Linked DNA regions of Struthio camelus. The protein of the gene in region 2 purifies or fractionates together with the protein of the main gene of each other region. This does not show direct contact. Links are inferred from orthologs where the notes say so. Each region holds a gene or a part of one and is shown on either strand. Other genes may lie near its edges.

Region 1 (10,137 bases), on a different chromosome or scaffold from region 2:
CACCGTGTCCTGGAGTCCTGGTGACACTGGGACATTGGGGTCCTCCAACACTGGCATCCCGGTGTCCTGTGACACCCCCCCCCCCCGCTATCCCGTGACGCTCTGACGCAGGGGTGTCCCCGTGTCCGGGTGACGCTGTGACGCAGAGGGGGGGTGTCCCCCCTGTCTGGGTGACCCCCCCCATTGTGTGTGGGGGGGGTCCTGCCGGCCCGTGACCCCCGCGTGCGGGTGATGCTGTGACATGGGGCGGGGGGGGGGGGGAGGTCCTGGTGGCCGGGTGTCCCCCATGTGCCACCATGGTGCTGGGCCCTGCGGCCACCCCAGGCCCCCCCCCACACACACCCAGCCCCCCCCCCGGCCCCGGCCCCGGTGTTTTTTGGTGGGTTGGGGGGGGCCGGGGCTCCCCCCCCCCCGCGGCCACAGAAGCTATTTTGTACGTGAGATTAATTAACTCGCACAGCCCGGCCGGCTCCGTCCTGCGGGGGGGGGGAGAGGGATTGGGGGGGTCCCAGGGGGATCTGGGGGGGGGTCCTGGTTTGGAGGGGGTCCTGGTTTGGAGGGGGTTGGGGGGGTGGTTGGGGATCCCAGTTTGGGGGGGGGTCCCAGGGGGATTTGGATTGGGGGAGGCTGGTTTGGGGGGTGGTTCAGTTGGGGGGGGTCCCAGTTTGGGGGAGGGGGCTCTGGTTTTGGGGGGGGTCCAGTTTGGGGAGGCTGGGGGGGATCTGGATTGGGGGGACCTTGGTTTGGGGGGGTCCAGGTTAGGGAGGGTCCCAGTTTGGGGGGGGTCCAGGGGGATGGTCCTTTGGAGGGGGCAGTGGGGGGCCTAGAGGGGGTGCGGGGGAGGGTCCCAGTTGGGGGGGCCACCCTGGGGTTTTGGGGGGGGTCAGAGAATTGGGGGGGGGGCCGGTTGGGGGCTGCAGCTGCCACCACCCTCGCCCCCTCCCCCCCCGCCTGCTCCAAGGGGACCCAGGGACACCGGTTTGGGGGGGGGGCACCCCAACCCCCCCGTCGCGTGGTGACGACACGATGTGGGTGGGCTCCAGGGAGGCTTTAATGGGGCACAGGCAGCCTGGGCCCCCCCCGGCCCCCTCCCATGGCGCTCACGGGGTGTCACGCGTGACGGGGAGGGGCTGTCACGCGTGCGGAGGCTGCCGTGGGTCGGGGGGGGTTGTCACGCGTGCCGGGGACGTCGCAGGTGCGAGGGGGCCGTCACCGATCCGGTCCCAGGAGCCGGGGGGAGGGGGCGTCACGCGTGCGGCGGGCGTCACGGGTAGAGGGGGGCCGTGGCGCTGTCCCGCTCCACCTCGATGGAGACGATGTGGTGGCCGGGCACCATGGCCAGGCCCAGCACCCGCGGCTCGCTGCCGGGGAAGGAGTCTGCGGGCACAGGGACGCCTCAGCGGGGCCCAGGCGTCCGGGCCACCCCCCCCAAGGGAGGGGACCCAGGCGTCCGGGCCACCCCCTGGGAGAAGGGACCCAGGTGTCCGGGCCACCCCCTGGGAGAAGGGACCCAGGCGTCCGGGCCACCCCCCCCAAGGGAGGGGACCCTGGCGTCCGGGCCACCCCCTGGGAGAAGGGACCCAGGTGTCCAGGCCACCCCCCCTAGGAGGGGACCCTGGCGTCCGGGCCACCCCCTGGGAGAAGGGACCCTGGCATCCGGGCCACCCCCCCTAGGAGGGGACCCTGGCGTCCGGGCCACCCCCTGGGAGAAGGGACCCTGGCGTCCGGGCCACCCCCCCTAGGAGGGGACCCTGGCGTCCGGGCCACCCCCTGGGAGAAGGGACCCTGGCATCCGGGCCACCCTCCCCTAGGAGGGGACCCTGGCGTCCGGGCCACCCCCTGGGAGAAGGGACCCAGGCGTCCGGGCCACCCCCCCTAGGAGGGGACCCTGACATCCGGGCCACCCCCTGGGAGAAGGGACCCAGGCGTCCGGGCCACCCCCCCTAGGAGGGGACCCGGGTGTCCGGGCCACCCCCTGGGAGAAGGGACCCTGGCATCCGGGCCACCCCCCCTAGGAGGGGACCCTGGCGTCCGGGCCAACCCCTGGGAGAAGGGACCCAGGTGTCCGGGCCACCCCCTGGGAGAAGGGACCCAGGCGTCCGGGCCACCCCCCCCAGGAGGGGACCCTGGCGTCCGGGCCACCCCCTGGGAGAAGGGACCCAGGCGTCCGGGCCACCCCCCCAAGGGAGGGGACCCAGGTGTCCGGGCCACCCCCGGGAGAAGGGACCCAGGTGTCCGGGCCACCCCCCCTTAGGAGGGGACCCTGGTGTCCGGGCCACCCCCTGGGAGAAGGGACCCAGGTGTCCGGGTCCCCCCTTACAGCCGCCGGTGGGGGGCCAAGCCTGACACCCACCTGCCCCCCGGTGTCCGGGCCGCCCCCCACCTTGCCCCCCCCCGGCCCGGGCAGGGGCCCCGGCGTCCGGCTCACCGGCGGCCTTGAGGAACTCCTGGGCGGAGCCGAGGATGACGTTGGCGTCGCGGTCGGTGCAGAGGAAGGCGCCCACCAGCGTGCGCCCGTCCGACATGCGGATCCGCATGCTGCGGTTCAGCAGCGCCTCCAGGCGCCGCCGGGCCCGCGGGTGCCCCCCGCCGGGCTCCTGCGACCCCCGTCAGCCCTGCGCGGGGGGGGGGGGGGGCCGGGGAGGGGGCAGCACCACCCCCGCAGGGCCCCCGGAGCCCCTCCCGGTGGGTCCAGCTATAGCCCACCCCCCCAAATTCCCCCAAGACCCCTCCCACAGCCCCTAGGGCACCCCTTATAGCCCCCCCACCTCCCAGGGACCCCCCATAGCCCCTCTACTGCCCCTAGGGCCTCCCCACAGCCCCTACGGCCCCCCAAGACCCCTCCCACAGCCCCCAGGGCCCCCAATAGCCCCCCCACCTCCCAGGGACCCCGCCATAGCCCCTCCACTGCCCCTAGGGCCTCCCCACAGCCCCTACGGCCCCCCAAGACCCCCTCCACAGCCCCTAGGGCACCCCTTATAGCCCCCCCACCTCCCAGGGACCCTCCATAGCCCCTCCACTGCCCCTAGGGCCTCCCCACAGCCCCTACGGCCCCCCAAGACCCCCCCACAGCCCCTAGCGCACCCCTTATAGCCCCCCCACCTCCCAGGGACCCCCCATAGCCCCTCCACTGCCCCTAGGGCCTCTCCACAGCCCCTACCGTCCCCCAAGACCCCCCCACAGCCCCTAGCGCACCCCTTATAGCCCCCCCACCTCCCAGGGACCCCCCATAGCCCCTCCACTGCCCCTAGGGCCTCTCCACAGCCCCTACCGTCCCCCAAGACCCCCCCACAGCCCCCAGGGCCCCCCAATTGTCCCCCCACCTCCCAAGGACCCCCCCATAGCCCCTCCACTGCCCCTAGGGCCCCTCAAGAACCCCCCTCCACAGCCCCTAGGGCCTCCCCCATAGCCCCTAGGCCCCCAATAGCTCCCCTATAATACCCAGAGCCCCCCCATAGCCTCTAGGTCCCCCTATAGTCCCCCCACAGCCCCTAGAACCCCCATTATAGCTCTCCACAGCCCCTAGGACCCCCCCCATAAGCCCTAGGGCCCCTGAAGAGCCCCCCCACAGCCCCTAGGGTCTCTCCATTGCCCCTGGACTGCCCCCAATAACCCCTAGACCCCCCCCTTAGCCCCTCCCAGCCCCAATAGCCCCCCCACACAGCCCCTAGGGCCCCCCCATAGCTCATAGGGTCCCCCATAGCCCCTAGAGCCCCTCAAAAGCCCCCCCACAGCCCCTAGGGCCTCCTCATAGCCCCTATGCCCCCCCTACAGCCCCCTATAGGCCCTATGGCTCCCCCACACCCCCTAGAGCCCCCTTATAGCCCCAAGTTGGCCCCATGGCGCCCCCCCACAGCCTCTGGGGCTCCCCTATAGGCCCTATGGCTCCCCCACAGCCCCTAGGGCCCCCCCATAACCACCCTGTAGGCCCCTGGGCCCCCCTACAGCCCCTAGGACCACCCTACAGCCCCTGGGCCCCCCCACAGCTCTTGGGGCTCCCCCATAGCCACCCACAGCCCCCCATAGGTCTCATGGCCCCCCTTACAGCCCCTAGGCCCCCCCATATGCCCCCACAGCTCCTAGGCCCCCCCCACAGCTCCCCGTAGGTCCTATGGCCCCCCCCCACAGCCCCTGGGCCCCCCCATAGCTGCCCCTTAGGCCCCATGCCCCCCCCCACAGCCCTTGGGCCCCCCCATAGGCCTCTATAGGCTCCATGGCCCCCCCCACAGCCCCTGGGGCCCTCCCCCAGCCCCCCTATAGGCCCTATGCCCCCCCCCACAGCCCCTGGGGTCCCTCCAAAGGCCCTAGGGCCCCCCTACAGCCTCTGGGGCCCCCCACAGCCCCCGGGGCCCCCCAACAGCCCCATGCAGTGCCCCAACAGCCCCTCCCGCCCCCCTCGCTATGGCCCCCCCACCTCCCCCAGGCCCCGCCCCTCGCCGTGGCCCCGCCCCCCTCACCGGCGGGCCCCGCCCCCGCCCGCCGCAGCCGTTCTCCTCCCGCGGCTCCGGCGGCTCCGCCATGGCGCCGAAGTCTCGCGAGAGCGGCGGCGAGATCCCGCGGGCGCGGGGCGGGGCCGCGCCTTCCCGGCAGCCCCCGCGCGGCGGCGGCGCCTACAGCTCCCGGCAGCCCTTGCGGCGCCGCGGGAGGCGGGGCGGGGAGCTCCACATCCCGGCATGCCTTGCGCTCGCCGGTTTTAGGAGGCGGGAGGTGGGGGGGGGAACAAAGGCGGGCGGGGCGGGGCGCGATCCCGCCATGCCCCGCGCGGCAGCATGGCGGGGCGGGAGGAGGGAGAAGGACTACATTTCCCGACATGCCTTGCACGACGCGGCGGGCTTTCCCGGCAGGCAGCGCGCGGCGAGCGCCCCCTGGGCCCGGGCCGACTCCCAGCTGGGGGGCGGGGTTGCTAGGGCAACGGCGCTTCCGGGCGAGCGCCGCGTCGCCATAGGAACGGCGCTTCCCGTCGGACGCCGCGCTATGGCGTTGCCGGGGCAGCGGCCGGCGTCGCCATAGGAACGGGGCTTCCCGGCAGGCGCCGCGCGCCGCGTCGCCATAGGAACGGCGCTTCCCGTCGGACGCCGCGCTATGGCGTTGCCGGGGCAGCGGCCGGCGTCGCCATAGGAACGGGGCTTCCCGGCAGGCGCCGCGCGCCGCGTCGCCATAGGAACGGCGCTTCCCGGCGGGCGCTGCGCGCCGCGTCGCCATGGCAGCGCGCGGCCGACCTCGGCCATGGCGCCGCCGCGGCCCCGGTACTTCACGGCGCGGGAGGTGGCGGCGCACGCGCGGCCCGGTGACCTCTGGGTCAGCTGCCTGGGCCGCGTGCTCGACCTGACGCCGCTGGCGCGGGAGCACCACGGTACGGCGGTCCCGGGACCCCCCACCCCTCCTTCCCCGCTACCGAGGGGGCCCCCCCCCCTCCTTCCCCGCACGCCGCCATTTTGTTGGGGGGGGGGGTCGCGTCCTTCCGTGCCCCATTTCCCTTCTCCGCCTCCCTCCTCCAGGCGACCCCCGTCTGCGCCCCCTGCTCGAGGCGGCGGGGACCGACATCAGCCACTGGTTCGACCCCCGGACGCAGGACGTGTGTAGTGGTCGGGGGGGGAACTGCCCCCAAAGACCCCCGCTGGGGTGCCTGCCGGGGGGGGGGGGTGTCACCCAGTGGGTCCCGGTGTGGGGTGGGGGTGGGGGGCCTCGGGTGACACCTGGGGGTTCCGATGTGAGGTGGGGGGTCCTGAGTAGCACCTGGGGGGGGTCTCGGTGTGAGGGGGGGGCCCTCAGGTGACATCGGGGGTGGTCCTGGTGTGGGATGGGGGAGTCGATGTGGGGTAGGGGGTTCTGGGTGGCAGCTGGGGGGTGCTGGTGTGGGGTAGGAGGCCCCAGTGCAGGGTGGGGGGGGTCTCGAGGTGTGGGGAGGTCTCTGAGTGCCACTTAGGGGGTCCCGGTGTGATTTTAGGTGTCCAGGTGTGGGGCATGGGGGTCGTGTGGGGCTTTGTGTGCTAGCATGGGGTGGGGGGGGTCCCTGAATAGCGCCTGGGGGATCCCAGTGTGGGGTGAGGGCTCCTAGTGTTGGGGGGGTCCTAGGATGACCCCTGGGGGGTCCTGCTGTGATTTTTAGGGCTCCCGATGTGGGGCCCTGGCGCTCTCTAGGTAGCACTCAGAGGGTCCCCATGTTGGTGGGGGGGGGTCCCAGTGTGCCATTAGGGGTCCTGGTGTGTGGGAGGTCCCTGTGTAGGGTTTCATGCTGGATGGGGGGCACCCTGGGGGTGGGGGGCTCCTGGTGAAGCCCCCCCCCCCCCAACCGGCAGCTGCTGAGGCGGGTGGACCCGCACACGGGCTTGCCGGGCTACCGGGCGCCGGGGGGCGGCCTGCTGGACGTGCCGCCGCCGGCGCCCCGCTCGGACTGGGTGCCCCCCGCCCGCCCCCCGTGGTGGCGGGACCCCCGGTATGAGGTGGGGCGCCTGGGCGCCCGCCCCCGCCGCCTGCGCGTCCTCAACACCCTCACGGGGCAGCAGGATGTCCTCGAGGTCAGCGTGCCCCTTTGGGGGGGGCCCGGGGCTCGTCACCGTCCCCCCCGGGGGGGGGGCAGCGCAATGGGGAGGCCCTGGATTCCCCCACCACCGTGGGACGTCCCCACTGTCACCAGGGTCGTTGGGGAGGGGTTAGTTAATGGAGGAGGGGGGGCTGGGGGATCGTCAGCCAAGGTTGGGGGACCCACAGTTATGGGGGAGGATCTGGGGGCTCGTTAGCCACCATGGGAGGATCTGGGGGGTCGTTAGCCAAAGTTGGGGGACCCACAGCTATGGGGGAGGATCTGGGGGGTCGTTAGCCATGGTTGGGGGACCCACAGCTATGGGGGAGGATCTGGGGGCTCGTTAGCCACCATGGGAGGATCTGGGGGGTCGTTAGCCAAAGTTGGGGGACCCACAGCTATGGGGGAGGATCTGGGGGGTCGTTAGCCATGGTTGGGGGACCCACAGCTATGGGGGAGGATCTGGGGGCTCGTTAGCCACCATGGGAGGATCTGGGGGGTCGTTAGCCAAGGTTGGGGGACCCACAGCTATGGGGGAGGATCTGGGGGCTCGTTAGCCGGCATGGGAGGATTTGGAGAGGTCGTTAGGTGGTGTGGGAGCCCTGCAAGGACAGGGGAGGCCCGGAGGCCTCGTTAGGGAGCTCGGGGGTCCGGTCAGGCGGGCCCGAGCAGCCGCGGCGGCCGCAGGTGTGCGCGGAGGAGACGCTGCACGACATCCTGCGGCGCTACCTGCCCCGCAACGCCCACGCCGGCAGCTACAGCTGGCGCCACGGCGGGGCCGCCCTCGACATGGAGCGCACGCTGGAGCAGAACGGCGTGGCCGACGAGGGGCCCGAGCTGCGGCGCCTCGGCCTCGACCCCGAGCGCCACCTCCCCGCCCTGCTGCTCTACTTCAACGACGACTTCACCGAGCTCTAGCCGCAGGTGGGGGCGCCCGGCTCCGTTTCGGGGGGGGGGAACGGTTTTGGGGCGAAGCAGGTGGGACCCCCGTCCCCGCTGGGGCTCTGCTCTCGGAGGGGGTTAAGAGCGAAGCAGCTCTGCCCTGAAGCGCTGTTTTGAGTTGATTTTTTTTTTTTTTCGGTCCCAAACCCATCCGTTTCCTCCGGCAAAGCTCGTCCGGGCGGCGTGGCTCGTCCCCGCGGCTCCAGCCGCGTTCGCTGCCCCATCGCCGCCGTCTCCTCCTTTTCCAGGCTGGCAGCAGCGAAATTCCCTTCCCGAGCGCGAGGATCTGTTCCTCCGAGGGCGAATCCCGGCGCAGGCGGGCTCCTCGGTCCCCGCGGGGCTCCGACAGCGCGGCTCCTTCGAGACAAGGCGCATCCCTGGAACTTTCGGAGAAATAAACCCGGTTTTGGTGTGAAAAGGCCACGGCTGAGCCTCGTCTGGGGGTCGCAGCAGGAAACGGGGCCGCGGCGCTTCCGTCCTCGCTGCCGGGATGGAAAAAAGCCATCGGGAGCCGCGTTGGGATCCGGGTGGCCGGCAGGCAGGGAGGATCCGCTCGCGTCCTGGGCCCGGGAGGAAACCTCGGGCCGCTCGGCTCCGAGCAGCCAGCGGGAAAGCAGTGATTAACTCGCTAACGAGGAGATCGGAGCCCGGTGGCGCTCCGTGGTCCGCGCCTGGCGGAGCGTGGCCAGCTCTGAAGGGGAGTTGGGGCGTCCCCGGCGTTGCCTCCCGCTCGTGCCTTCCTCGTCCTCCCGCCGACTGGCACCGTCCCTTTTCCGTGCGGGAATCGGGGCCCCCTGTGGCCTGGGGTCGGCCGCGAGCGCCCCTGCGACTTCTCCCACCAGAAACCCTCGGGATCGAACCCCGCTCGGCAGCTCCCGGCGTGGGAGGAAGAGCCGGAGCCGGCGGGAGACCCTTCCCGGTGGTCTCGCTGCGCGAGCAGGGGGATCTCCAAGCGGATCCCAGGTAATTGGTCTCTGTAGCCACTAGAGGTCAGGCCTGGAACGCTGGTGCGCAGCCCCCACCCCAAAATCCAGCCTGTTTTCCCTCAAATTGAGGGGTGCCGCGTGGCACGAGGCTCCGTCTCTGGTATCCCGGCACTCTGGTATCCCGTTGGTTTTTCGGGGACGGCCCCCCCCCGTCCTGCTCTCACCCCGAGCATCTCTCTGACCCCGAACCTCTGTCTGGTTCGGAGCAATGCCACAGGACGGTGTGGGGAAAAGGGAGCCAAAATGCGGCGTTTTGCTCCACAAAACCAAGGAGGATGGAGACTCCGGGAGCAGCCGCAGGGCGAACTCGGCCCCAATATCGGGCGCTTGGAGAATCTACGTCCCAGGAAGTCGGGTCTGGTGACCGGCGGCACTGTGACAGCCAGAGAGACGGAGGAAAAGGGTCCTTCGGGAGCCGGGGGGATCCTGAGGCAGCGGGATCGGCCCTGGGACGCACGTTCGGACGGCGGCGGTGCCCGGCGGGGTGGGAAAGCGGCTCCGCTGTCACCTCGGGGTTTCTCTGGCCCCGTTTTCGGGGTGCCCCACGAGGTTTGGGTGCTTTTGCCCCTTCCCGGCTGGGATTTTTTTATCCCCGATGCGCGCAGGCAGGTTGGGGCGCGTTCCCATGGGCTTTTTCTCACAGTTCAGTCCCCGAACCCGCTCCCGAGGATTTGGAGCCTTTCCCATTCCCTCGGCGCGTGGTTTTGGGGCTGTTCCTCCCCTCTTTGGGTGCTCTCCGCTACAGAGCAGGGACCAGCGAGGACACGAGACGTCACCCAGCTCCAAATCCAGCTCCTTTTGCCTTGGCTCAAGCGAACGGCATCCGCAACCTGCCCGAATCCCGCTGGTGTCGGGGCGAGCGGCCGACGGCTCCGGACCCCGCGACTCGGCTTTTTTCCTCCCGGGAGCCTTCAGCGGAGATATTTGGAGCTGGTTGTAGGTCCTGGAGCCTGAAGGGCAGCGTTTGGGGCTTGTGCCAGTGCGGGTTCACCAGTGTCTAATAAGGGATCGCGTTCCTCTGCAATGTAGGATCGCCGGATGTTAATCCGACCGGAGCAGCAAGAGCCGGAGCTCATCCGTCTGCTGGGGGTCGGAGCGAGCGGCGCGAGCCCTGTCGTTGCGGGGTCCCGCGCCGGCGCGGCAGCAGCCCTGACTCATCATCGGTCGAGCAGAGCCGGTTTCCCTCGGGCCCCGGGTCGAGGCCGTCCCCGGCGTTCGGCCGCGGCTTCCCAGCGGAGAGAGGCGCTCGGAGACGGCCGCCGCGCGGGTGACGCCGGCTGGCGTGACAGTCGGCGGATCGCCGTCGTGGCGGGGTTCGGGAAACGCCGCTGGAGAGCCGGTGGTGGGGCCGGATCCCCCACTCCCGTGCGGAGTTGGGAGGCGCGTGCTGAAAAAAGCCGCCCGGCCCCCAGGCGCGTCCGGGGAGCGCGCGGCCCCCGCCTGCCACTGCGCTGGCCCTCGGGAGCAAAGAGCATCCCCTGGCTCCCGCGGCAGCAGCTGACGTGGAAAAGCTCCTCGCGGCGGGTATTTTTAGCAGCTTCCAGCATGATTTAGCAGCTGGAGGCGAGGAGGGGAGCCAGCGCGGCGCACTCGCCAGCTCCGCATGGGCCCCGGCGTGGGAAAGACCAGGGCTCAGCAGTGCAGATCTGCCAGCAGCGGGGGGCGGGGGGAAGGGAATAATCACAG
Region 2 (10,478 bases):
TGCCCCTTTACACTTAAACATTTGTTTAATACTCAGTATAATGTAATCTTTAATATAATTAAGTTAGCAGTCACAAAATACTTTGCTACTTCTGTTCTCAGTGTCCTGCCAGTACAGTTAATAAAATGAGTGATATGCTGTTAGCTTCCCGTTTGACACACACGTTGTGAAGTAAAATCCACTTTTGGCAATAGAAGATTATTACATTGCTGTAATCTGGATAAGAAAAAGATAGGAAGATACCTGAAGAACCCACTCTAATCTATTCCTATCACAAGGCAGGACTAGCTATGTGGTTTTTAGCCTTAAAAGCTTTCAGTGATAAGCTTCTCCAAGGCCTTATTGCAATTTTTCAAAGCCCTCAACATTTAAAATATTTTTCAGCTATCTTACCAGAATTCTTTTGGTCAGCACTTCTTGTCCTGTCCACTAAGAACATGAAAAACCCGTGACCGTGTTCCGTGTTAGTCAAGTCTTTCTTAAGCTGAAGAACCCTAGTGTGCTCACTTTTCCATCGCAGGTCCTGTTTTCTAGCCCTCTGCTCGTTACTGTGCGCTACTCCGAACGCTTCGAAATTAGCGCCTGTGTTTCTTGCCGTGCAGTGCCCAAAGCTGGGCTCCAGCTGGTGCTTCCTGATGACCAAGTGGAGAAGGGTTCCTTTTCGTACTGTCTTTTTCCACAGAACTGCAAACCATGCACTTGTTCTCCAGCACGTCTCCGTGCAGTTGTTTGCTCTGTCCTAAGCATACCACCTTGCATTTGTCCCTATCGAATAGTGTCCTCCCCTTTTCAGACTGCATTTCCAATTTGTCAAGATCCTTTGGAATTCTGTCCCCATCCTCTGATATCTTTGCTGTCCATCCTTGCGTGGCTTTGTCTCCAAATATAACAAATATCCTTTGTTATATAAGTCTTACTGTCTTATAAGTCTTACTGATGTCAAGATTTACAATTTGTACTGTTTCTCCTCTGTCTCAGAGCCTGCTACCCTGTCATGGAAGGAAATGAGATTGGTTTGACATGACTTGGTCTTGACAAATCCATATTGACTGTCACTAATCTCCTTGTTTTTTTCTTAAATGCTTACAAATTGTTTGATTATTTGTTCCAGCGTTTTTCAGGAAATTGAAGATAAGCTGATGCGTCTATAATTCCCTAGCTCCTCCTTCTGTCCTCCCCCTCTTTAATAAGTTTCCATTACCTCTTTCATCCACCACAGTTTTTAAAGGTATTTATTCCCCTTAATATTTCTTACCATAGAGAGTCTATCAGCAAAAGAAAAACAGTAACCAGCAGAGGACGTTCTAAAAAGATTACTGTACTTTAATGACTTCAAAGACGCTAAATCATACTTTAAACAGTTTTAGGTAGATTATTACTCAGTTTTTCAAAGGACTCTAGTGTCGATCTGTTTCCATTCCTGCTGAAGGAAATAAGAAATTTCTCATTGGCTCCAATGGAAGCTCAGAGATTTTAAAAATTCATTTCCCTAACTCCAGAGTTGTTAAATGTATATTGATATGGTAAATGGTAAATAGGGTGCCTACTGTACAGATTTCAGCAAGTGCGCTTAAAAGGACATAAAGTCACATGATTTTTAAATATACTATAACTACATTTTCTTTTGTTAGACGGCTGTAAAACCAATCCGACTCAACTGGTCAAACTGAGTTTAAAACTATTGACTGGTGTTATTACAAGAAAGTATGCCTCAATTTCCTGCTGGTATGCTCCTTTCACACAATAAAGTGGGATGGGTCAGAGCATGTGGGTGAGTAGTTCACGCAAGAAGATCAACATATTGACTTGCTGAAGTTAAAATATCTCCTTGTGCAATACTGAGAGCACTAAACAATGATGGAACAAGCAGCCAGCCAGATGAGAAAGTCAGACATGCCTAATTCTTACAGTACTTTCTCTTCTTGCCAGGGATTGTTTTCAGTGGAGTTAGGCCTACACACACTAGCTGAGATCTTAGCTACCTGCTTTAACTTTACAGTGGTATACTGACTTTTCAAGTACATTGTGTCTGCAGCTTCTCTCCCCCCTTGCTTCTCCATCCTTTTTGATAAAGGGTTTGAAAGAGAAGAGCTGTCCCTGGCTATTTGCAATGAAGCACATCATTTCAAATCAATCAATCATTCCTCATTAGCTTCACAGACCAGATGCAAGGCACAGTGGAATCAATGCTCTGCTATGAAATCATCTCTAAAAAAAAATCTCCACTCCTATATACATTTTTGCTTGGTTTCTAAATACACATAAAGCCCCGGTGCAAAATAAAGGCACGGAGATTCCTTCTGTCCCTTCTGTGGTTTCTTCCAATACCAGAGAAGGCTCCTGTGTCCCCACAAGACTGGGAGAAGTGAGAGACCTCTGATAGCACAGGAGTCTCGGCAGAGTAGGAAAGACAGCAAAAACTCTTCCTGAAAGGCTCAAGAGCTCCTTATCAGAAGGAGCACTCTTGAATGCACCTACCAACCACGTCTCTTACTCCTCCTGCTGAGCTATGATTTTCTCCTCCTATAGAGAGTAGGCATGGGTAAGAGAGGCCAGCTTTAGTTATAAAGACTCAGATAGTTTCACCTGTAGTAGAAGTGTACGAGCAAGAAATGGAATAAATATTGTCATGGCTGACTCATCCTTCACAGATCTCTGTTTTCTTTTTTTCTCTTTTTGCATCTCCCAAATCTCTCTCATCATCATTTCACACTTGATTTCAATGTAGCTACAGAAGTGAAGATGACAATTGCACTGGTGTATTGATCTTGACACTACAAGTCCCTGTCTCCCATGGAGACAAATGTCATCTGCCCAGAGACTGCTGTCAGAAGAGATGCAGTGACTTCTGTATGTTCTTCTGCTAAAATAAACCGAGTTTATGGCACAGGGTCACTGTTGTGGGAATTTCAGAGACTGGAGTGCTGTCCAACACTACCCCCTTGTGATTTCTCTTGTTACAACACTCTTTCTAAACCACAGTTTTTCCAGATTGACCATTTTACACGAAGACTCTCCTTCTGAGCAGCACACATCCCACCACTTAAACAGACAGCTTGCTCAGCGTGAACCAAGCAACATTTGATATGTATACATACATTTTGTTTTTACTGAATTCCTCTTTTACTGTGCTTATAACCTTATATACTTCGATATGTATGATTCTCTATTTGCTGTTTCAGGAGCTCAGACAGACCTGGTATTTCCACCTACGCTGGCACATGTTGCACTTCCTGTCTAACTACAGAGTTAGGTGCAGAAATTCTAGATATCCTCATATTTCTTTATTATCATATTGTATCAATTTGAAGTGCAGAAGACGGAAGTCAAGCTACTTTAATTGAATGACAACATCTTTGCCCACACAGTTCATTGCCGGGCTGTGGAGAAGTCATAGCTCAGCTAGTGTGGCCAGTGCAATAGTGGGCAGGTATTAGCTCAGGTCCTTTCTTTGTTAAACATTGACCTGCTTCTCCTGTTTGTTTCCCCTGATTAAGTACAGCTCAATATTCTGTGTGCAATATCCTCATTTTTGGTGCAGCTGTGATGTTACCATCATTATGCCAGGGAACATGACATGTTTAGATGTCCGCTTTCCACAAGGGTTTCCTTGAGTTGAGATCTAACGCAGAGTAACTGCAAAGTTAATCCAGTGACCAGATAGTTCCCTTAGATATCTAAGAGAAAAAGGAGAAAGGCCATCAATAGCTCCCTTTCTTTTTGGAGATAACAGAACTATACAGGAACAGTTCCCCAAGTGTGTACTGTTTTCTTAATAAATGAATTAGCCATAGAAACCCCCAAGGTCACAGAGTTATTGAACAATGAACTAGAAAGACAATGAGACTTGTGTTCAAGCCCCGTCCTAGCTTCAGAGGAAGGAGTGGTTTGCAACAGCATGACGGTGCTCAGGGCTGCTGGAGGTTCAAAAAGCAGTGAGAGAAACCTGAGGAACAAAAATGCACCTAAAGCTATTACACAAAAAGCTATTACACACACTTCTGGTTCAGAAAGTCCATTTAAAAAGCAGCTGGCCTCTTTCTTGTCATCGTAATACAAACAACAGATAAGACAAATGAGAGGCAGAGTAGGCTTTGCAACTGAGAATATATCAACAGTAGCCCTAGGACACCTTTCACTTAACTTCAGAGAGTGACAGAAACGGTTTCCGTCTCAAATGAACTAGTTACGTTGAGGTCCCTTATTTAACGGGATGATGGCACGCACCTCCAAGACACAAGTCATCTGACCGGCTTTGGAAATCTAGTTTAGGATGAGCTGAATCCCTCCACAAAAGTGCCTTTTCCTCTCCAGGGACATTAAGGGGAATCAAAGGCGACTAGCTCAGACAGGGGTGCCTACAGTGTACATATCCACCTTTGGTCAGATGGGTCCTAGCTATGGACAATGAACTGCTAAGATCAACAACCAAACCAGGACCTTCTGAGCTTGGAAGCTGTTCAACAGGTATTGGAAGTGGAACAAAAAATGTTGCCAGTACTGTCAGAGAGCTCAAAAGAGAGGTTTTCCATAGTACCTGTGACCTCACTGAAGTAACATAGTATGTTTTTATGATAACAGCTATATCATTTTCACCCTATATGACAATTTGTGCTGGCTCTTGGTTGTCTTCCTAACATGGATACCACTGTAACACACAGGCTCAGGCACTTCCAATCACGCTACCGCAACACGGTAAACGAGAGCTGAATTTGGGCCATTACTACATTGACATTTGTTTGCTCTTTCTGTTTAAACTACCTGAGAACAGTGAACTTAACTGCACTGCCAGCGTGCCAGAGCAGCCCAGATGAGACCCATAAAAGCCCTTTGGTGCGTGAAAACCATTTTAATTCATTCACTTTCAATCAGATGTTTTCCTTTTCTCTCACTTCACTTCAGAACTTAACAATTCATAAGCGGAAGTCTGAAACTGGATCCAAGGTTTATTTTCACCCTAATTAAAGAACCTTGTTGGGACACGTAGAGAAGTTGCTAGGTTTTCCTTGTAAGTCCAGACCTGTCACTTCATAGAGAAGTAACTGTAGCAGAAGAAAATGAGTCTTGCACGCAACAGACCCACAGAGCTTCCTCGTGTGAAAAGGAGACAGTGCTGTTTCTTGGGCGCTTATTAACAAAGTCTCCGCAGTAAAAACACTACAAAGGATTTGCTTATTGCAGTGAGGTCTGCGGGCATATTCTTAAAACAGGCATTACTTAATTCCGAAACGCGGCAGAGACACCGCGCACTTGAGAGAGGACTTGTTCAAATTTCTGCGGATTTCCCAGGGCGACCAGCTGAGTGACTTCCTTACCCAGGCCCCAGGCCCTTCACGAGGACTCAACAGCGGCCCTGACGAACCTCCTTCCCCGCTTCTGCACATTTCTGAAGCAAGAGCTACAAATACCGCCCCCCTGCCCTGCTCCGACCCCCCGCCCCCGGCTCCGCGCTGCCCGCGGCCGTCGCTTTTACACCCTGGGGGCTGACGACGGTTAAAAAACAAAGCGCAAAGCGGCGTGCAGGCCGCGGCCGGGCCCGGGCCCGAGCCCGAGTAGGCCCCACCACGGGCCGGGAGCGCCTGGGGGCAGAGCTGCGGTGCCGGGGACTGAGGGAGCCGCAGCGGGTGCGCCCGGCCCGGCGCGAGTTAACGCAACGGCGCCGCCGCCACCACCACCGCCCAGGCCCTCGCCGCGCCCCGCCCCGCCGTCGCCGGGCCGCGCCGCCAAGGGAGGAAGTGTCGCAAGGGCTGACAGGAAACTTGGCGGCGGGTTTACGGCAGCGGCGCTTGGCGGCCGCTGGATGAGCGGAGAGTGGGAGCCGCGGCGCTGAGGAGAGGCGGGGGTGAGCGGCGGCGGCGGGCGGGGGCCGCGGCGGCGGGAGGCCGCCCGGGGCGGGCCGGCGACCGGAGGAGGGTCCCGGCGGCGGCAGCAGCGGGGCTGCAGGAAGAGGCGGCGGCGGGGCGGCGAGGCGGGGCCCGGGCCCTGTCTCTGCCTTTGTTCGCGCCCCCCTCCCCCCCCCCCCCGCCGCCGGCCCCGACCGCGGCCCGTCAGGCCGCCGCCGCCCTCCCCGTCTCGGCTGACGGCCGCCTCCTCGGCGGGTTTTGTGTCGGTCTCTCCCGTAGGATATGGCCGAGGTACCGCCGGGGCCTAGCAGCGTCCTCTCCCCGCAGGGGGACACGCTCTCCCCCTTCCCCGGAGGAGGAGGGGGGGCTGCTTCTTCCTCCTCCTCCTCCTCTTCCACCTCCTCCGCTGCCGCCGCCGCCTGCACCGGGGCCCAGGACGAGGAGGCCGAAGAGGAGGAGGAAGAGGAGGGACCCGCGGGCGGACGGGAGCAGCAGCAGCGAGGAGGAGGCGACGGCGGCAAGGGGGGGCAGCAGCAGCAGCAGCACCGCCTCCACCACCACCACCACCACCCCCCGCACCACAACCACCAGCTCAACGGCGTCATCAGCCCCGAGCTGCGGCACCTGCGGGCCTCCCTCAAGAGCAAGATCCTCAGCTCGGAGGCCGGGGCAGCTTCCGAGGGGCAGGAGAACAAGCGAGCCAGCAAAACAATGGGCTCTGGACAGCAGCAGCAGCAGCAGCAGCCGTCGCCCCCGGCCGCAGCACCGTGCTCGACCCCCCTTACTAACCACCTTGCTCCCCAGGGAAGGACTGCACCCTCTCCTCCTCCTCCTCCTTCTCCCCCAGCAGCAGCAACAGGGGACAGGAGCCAGCCTGCTGCCACAACTATGACTGCTGCTAAGAGTGCAGCCCGCAATGGACTCGCAGGAGGGACTGGCTTGGAGGAGGAAGAGCAGGAGGAGGGGGATGAAGGAGGGGAGGAGGAGGAGGAGGAGTCCCTGCTGCTACTCTCCAGGTCCTTAGCAGCAGCCTGCAGTTTGAAAGGCTCGGGAACGGACTCTCAGCCCGAGGAGGACCTAACGATACGATACGTCCGATATGAGTCAGAGTTGCAGATGCCCGATATCATGAGACTGATCACCAAAGATCTGTCTGAACCCTACTCCATTTATACATATAGGTATTTTATCCACAACTGGCCACAACTTTGCTTTTTGGTAAGTGCCCGGGGGTGGCAGGAATTGGGAGTGGTTTGGGGCTGGGGAGGAGAGGATTTAAAGGGTGACGTTTGTGGAAATACTTAGGCTATTCCTTTCATGGATAAGGGGGAAGGCCAAGGTTTTCTGGAAGTACCTTTCACTAATGAATTGCTCTCACCACCTGTGCCTGTATAAATAAAGCATGTGCCTAAAGATCCTACATTTATGAATAGATGTTTTGAGTGGTGGTGAAAGAGTTTGAACACAGGGCCAGTGTCCAGGAACTCAAGGGTTCTAATCTTGGTTTTGACATTGACTTTTGTGACCTTTGTCAGCTTATTTTTATTGTTCTGTCTCAGTTCCTAGGTTTATATATTTTTTTAAAAAGTATTTAGCCCATTAGTGTCTTATGAGTGCTTAGTAATTCTTGCACAATGGTTTTGAAACAGACTTCAACATGGCTAGTATATAAGTGTTAAGTGATACGTGGAGAAACAGTGTTAAATGTTTTGTAGATTCTTTTGATTTGCTAGCCTACTTAAAAAAGACAATTGCAACTGTATTGCTTCATACAGTTGTGAGAGTGTATGTAGCATACAGAAATTTTCATGCTGCCTCAACTATCTCGCAGTGCTAATGGCATGTTTAGTTTCATATTCTTCACACTGAGCTATTGAAAAGGATGATATAGCTTTTATGCTGTCTTTCTAAATATTTAGCAGCTCTTATGGAAGAGCGACTCCTGGGCAGTTTTAGAACTTGCACAGTTGAAAAGCATGCTGTTAAGATGCTAATCCATCCACAGGTATATGAAACTGAGTATAAGTTAGCCTGAGGGGGGTGTGTGCATAGGGGGACCTTAGCTGTGTTTGCTCTTTCTCGTATGAAAATTTCAGTCTCTAAAATGGAACATTTGTGAGAGTGTATGGCACGACGTTGCTAAGATGAATGATACGTTTTTCTCCCTCGATGTTTTAATCGAGGCTGGACACCTTTCTGAAAGATATGATTTAGCCAGAGCCAAGATACCCTTCAATTCAGGAGTATCTCTGTAAAATTGTAGTAGGATATGAGTACAGGAGGTCAGGCTAATGGAATCCATCTGGCCTTAAGCTTCCCGACTGTTCTTGTTTTAGGGTCTGGTATAATTTATAGCAGGATTTATATGATTTATAGGAGGATTTTCAGAACTATGCCTCTTAAAGCCCTAAAGAGGGAATACAGTAGGATTGTAGGAAGTTGAGCAAAACATTACCTTCGGAAACAAAACAAAATTATAAAATTATTTGAAAACACTGTCCAATGTAAATTCATGATTGCCATTATATTATTAATTATAAGCATGGTGATCGGAGCAGAATGGTATTTTTCAAGCACTGAGCCTATCCTAGCTATGTGTGCAGCTGATTAATCTCATACTGAAAAGAAGTGCTTGTGAGCTACAAATGTCCCTAGTTTCAGCATCAAGTGCATTGTTGGTAATGCCAAGGAAATGCTGGCTGCTACAAGATCACAGTGCATCTTTTTAGTCTTTAGATCTTGGGATTTTTTTGTTTTGTTTCCTTTTTTTGGTCAGAGAGTAACTTGAGAATTTTGTTGTTACGAAAAGGGCGATGACACATTGTTTGACAGAGCTCTAAAATATTTGATTTCTAATATTTATTTTTAAAACAAGTGCTTTCAAAGAGCATGTTTTCACTCAAGGAAAAGATCTCTTAAGCTTATTTTCTAGTGACGGATTCATTTTTTTAATAGCCTTGAATCAACAAAACTTAGCTTGAACTTTGCGAGTCTACTCAGATTTGCCATTTTTATGAAGTGCAGAACAATATGAAGCGCATAAAACTAGAGAAGGATATGTGGCTACAAATGTCTAAAGGAATTATCAAATTGTTTTATAAATGTAATAATCTGAGGCTCTTGCAATATGTTATTTTTTTGTGCCTGGTTTTAGCATTTTGAGGTTTGTTTTTAGAGGTTTTATTGAAGACTTTCTCTTCTGTGAAAATTAGTCTGTTCCTGCAGTTAATGGATTCCTGGACTACCTCTCTCTAATAAGTATCTTTAAAATATTTACCTTCAGTGAGGGACTGTGTGTTCCAATTAGCAGGAACAGTGTCAGGACAGTGAGAAGAAATACCGTAATTTTCCTCTCTAGCATCTTGGATACCTGACAATGCAGAACTCTTTCTTGGGGGCATTATTAACACTATTCCTGTGGGTGATGATCTAGGAGGTTTGAAACTTAAGGAGTTGTGGCTTGGCCTTCCCAAATTGTAGGGACACTCTAATGGCTAGTGCAACCAAAAAGGGCTACTTGCTCTTCCTTTTCTATCGCCTGTCTCTTCTTCCTTTGTGCCAACGTTTATATTTATCTGATTTGGGAAGCTAGGCTAGCTGCACCCTCCACCCCCAAAAAAGTAAAGTAATGGCCATGGACACACATGCATGCACATGTTTTTGTATGTGTGTTTGTCTGTGTATGTATATATATATATATATATATATATATATATATATATATATATATATATATGCGCGTGTGTGTGTGTTCTATGGTCAGCTTTCTCTTGATTTAGCTCTCCAAGCATATTCATAGTGGGAGCACACAAGTGCCAATGTTGGTGCAAAAGAAGAGGTGAGATCCTCCAGCATAGCTGGAGAGAAGGCACAGGACCAACCCTGCCTAGTCGCTAGCTTGGTTTTGCTCTATCAAACTACTTCCTAACTTGGTGCTTGAAAAATAAATTCATTTTCCGCTTTAAAAGGAACTGCCGATATTGAGAATCTTCAAAACCATTCATTCTAACATCAAATTCATCTGTAAAACTGTCTTTCTGACTTTTGAGGTAACAAGTTGATTATATGTGATGATCAATTCTGATATATTATATTGCAGAATTTTCTGACTGGGCTGTAGCAAGGTAATAAGCTACTTCATAAACTCTAGCTGTCTGCTTAAACTTGGATTTCACCTGTCTTTGGAACAGCAGGTTCGCACGTTGTGCTAGGTGTAGATGCTCTGGAAACTCTTCCTTTTTGTTTGTTCTCAGGAACTTTGACAGTCCAATTTCTCTTCAAATGAAGTATTATGACCACTTGTCACTCAAAAAATGACAGAGCAAAGCAATGTCTTTCTGTTTCCTGTGAAGCTTTTTTGAGCAGCACAACAGCTTTGTCTGCATATTGATTGTAAACACATATTCAAAGTTGTAGATTCTTTTCAAAGTGTTTTTGCAGCTTCTAGTCTTAGCGCTGTTAAAGTTATAAAACTTCTTCCATTTGTAACTAGTATATTAAATATGTGGAAAATTGTTTTCAGAATACGTTACTCTGGAAGAGGTGAGCTTGGGAAACCTTGCTCTGTTCTCAAGTTTGGGTAGGACAGGATGTAATAAAACCGGAGTTCTGGCTGAGTGTTGTAGCCTCTCTTGT

What was found. The genes of interacting proteins can lie anywhere in the genome.
Region 1: the proteins of NAA30 (region 2) and NAA38 purify together in Homo sapiens (co-immunoprecipitation; 3 studies listed by BioGRID and IntAct, with this or other methods). This does not show direct contact. The link is inferred for Struthio camelus from reciprocal best matches to the Homo sapiens genes NAA30 and NAA38.

The regions. Positions count from the first base shown.
Region 1 is NW_027182697.1:115,384-125,520, reverse strand, and holds NAA38 (N-alpha-acetyltransferase 38, NatC auxiliary subunit), read right to left. Parts: upstream 4,541-10,137; 5' UTR 4,521-4,540; coding exon 4,458-4,520; intron 2,598-4,457; coding exon 2,429-2,597; intron 1,378-2,428; coding exon 1,265-1,377; 3' UTR 1,034-1,264; downstream 1-1,033. Other genes in the region: CYB5D1 (cytochrome b5 domain-containing protein 1), read left to right, coding at 6,439-6,518, 7,211-7,447, 7,714-7,834, 8,308-8,428, 8,723-9,391, 9,481-9,722.
Region 2 is NC_090946.1:78,555,382-78,565,859, reverse strand, and holds the start of NAA30 (N-alpha-acetyltransferase 30), read left to right. Parts: upstream 1-5,719; 5' UTR 5,720-5,842; intron 5,843-5,941; exon of another isoform or gene 5,942-6,122; 5' UTR 6,123-6,125; coding exon 6,126-7,061; intron 7,062-10,478. UniProt on the Homo sapiens protein: Catalytic subunit of the N-terminal acetyltransferase C (NatC) complex. Catalyzes acetylation of the N-terminal methionine residues of peptides beginning with Met-Leu-Ala and Met-Leu-Gly.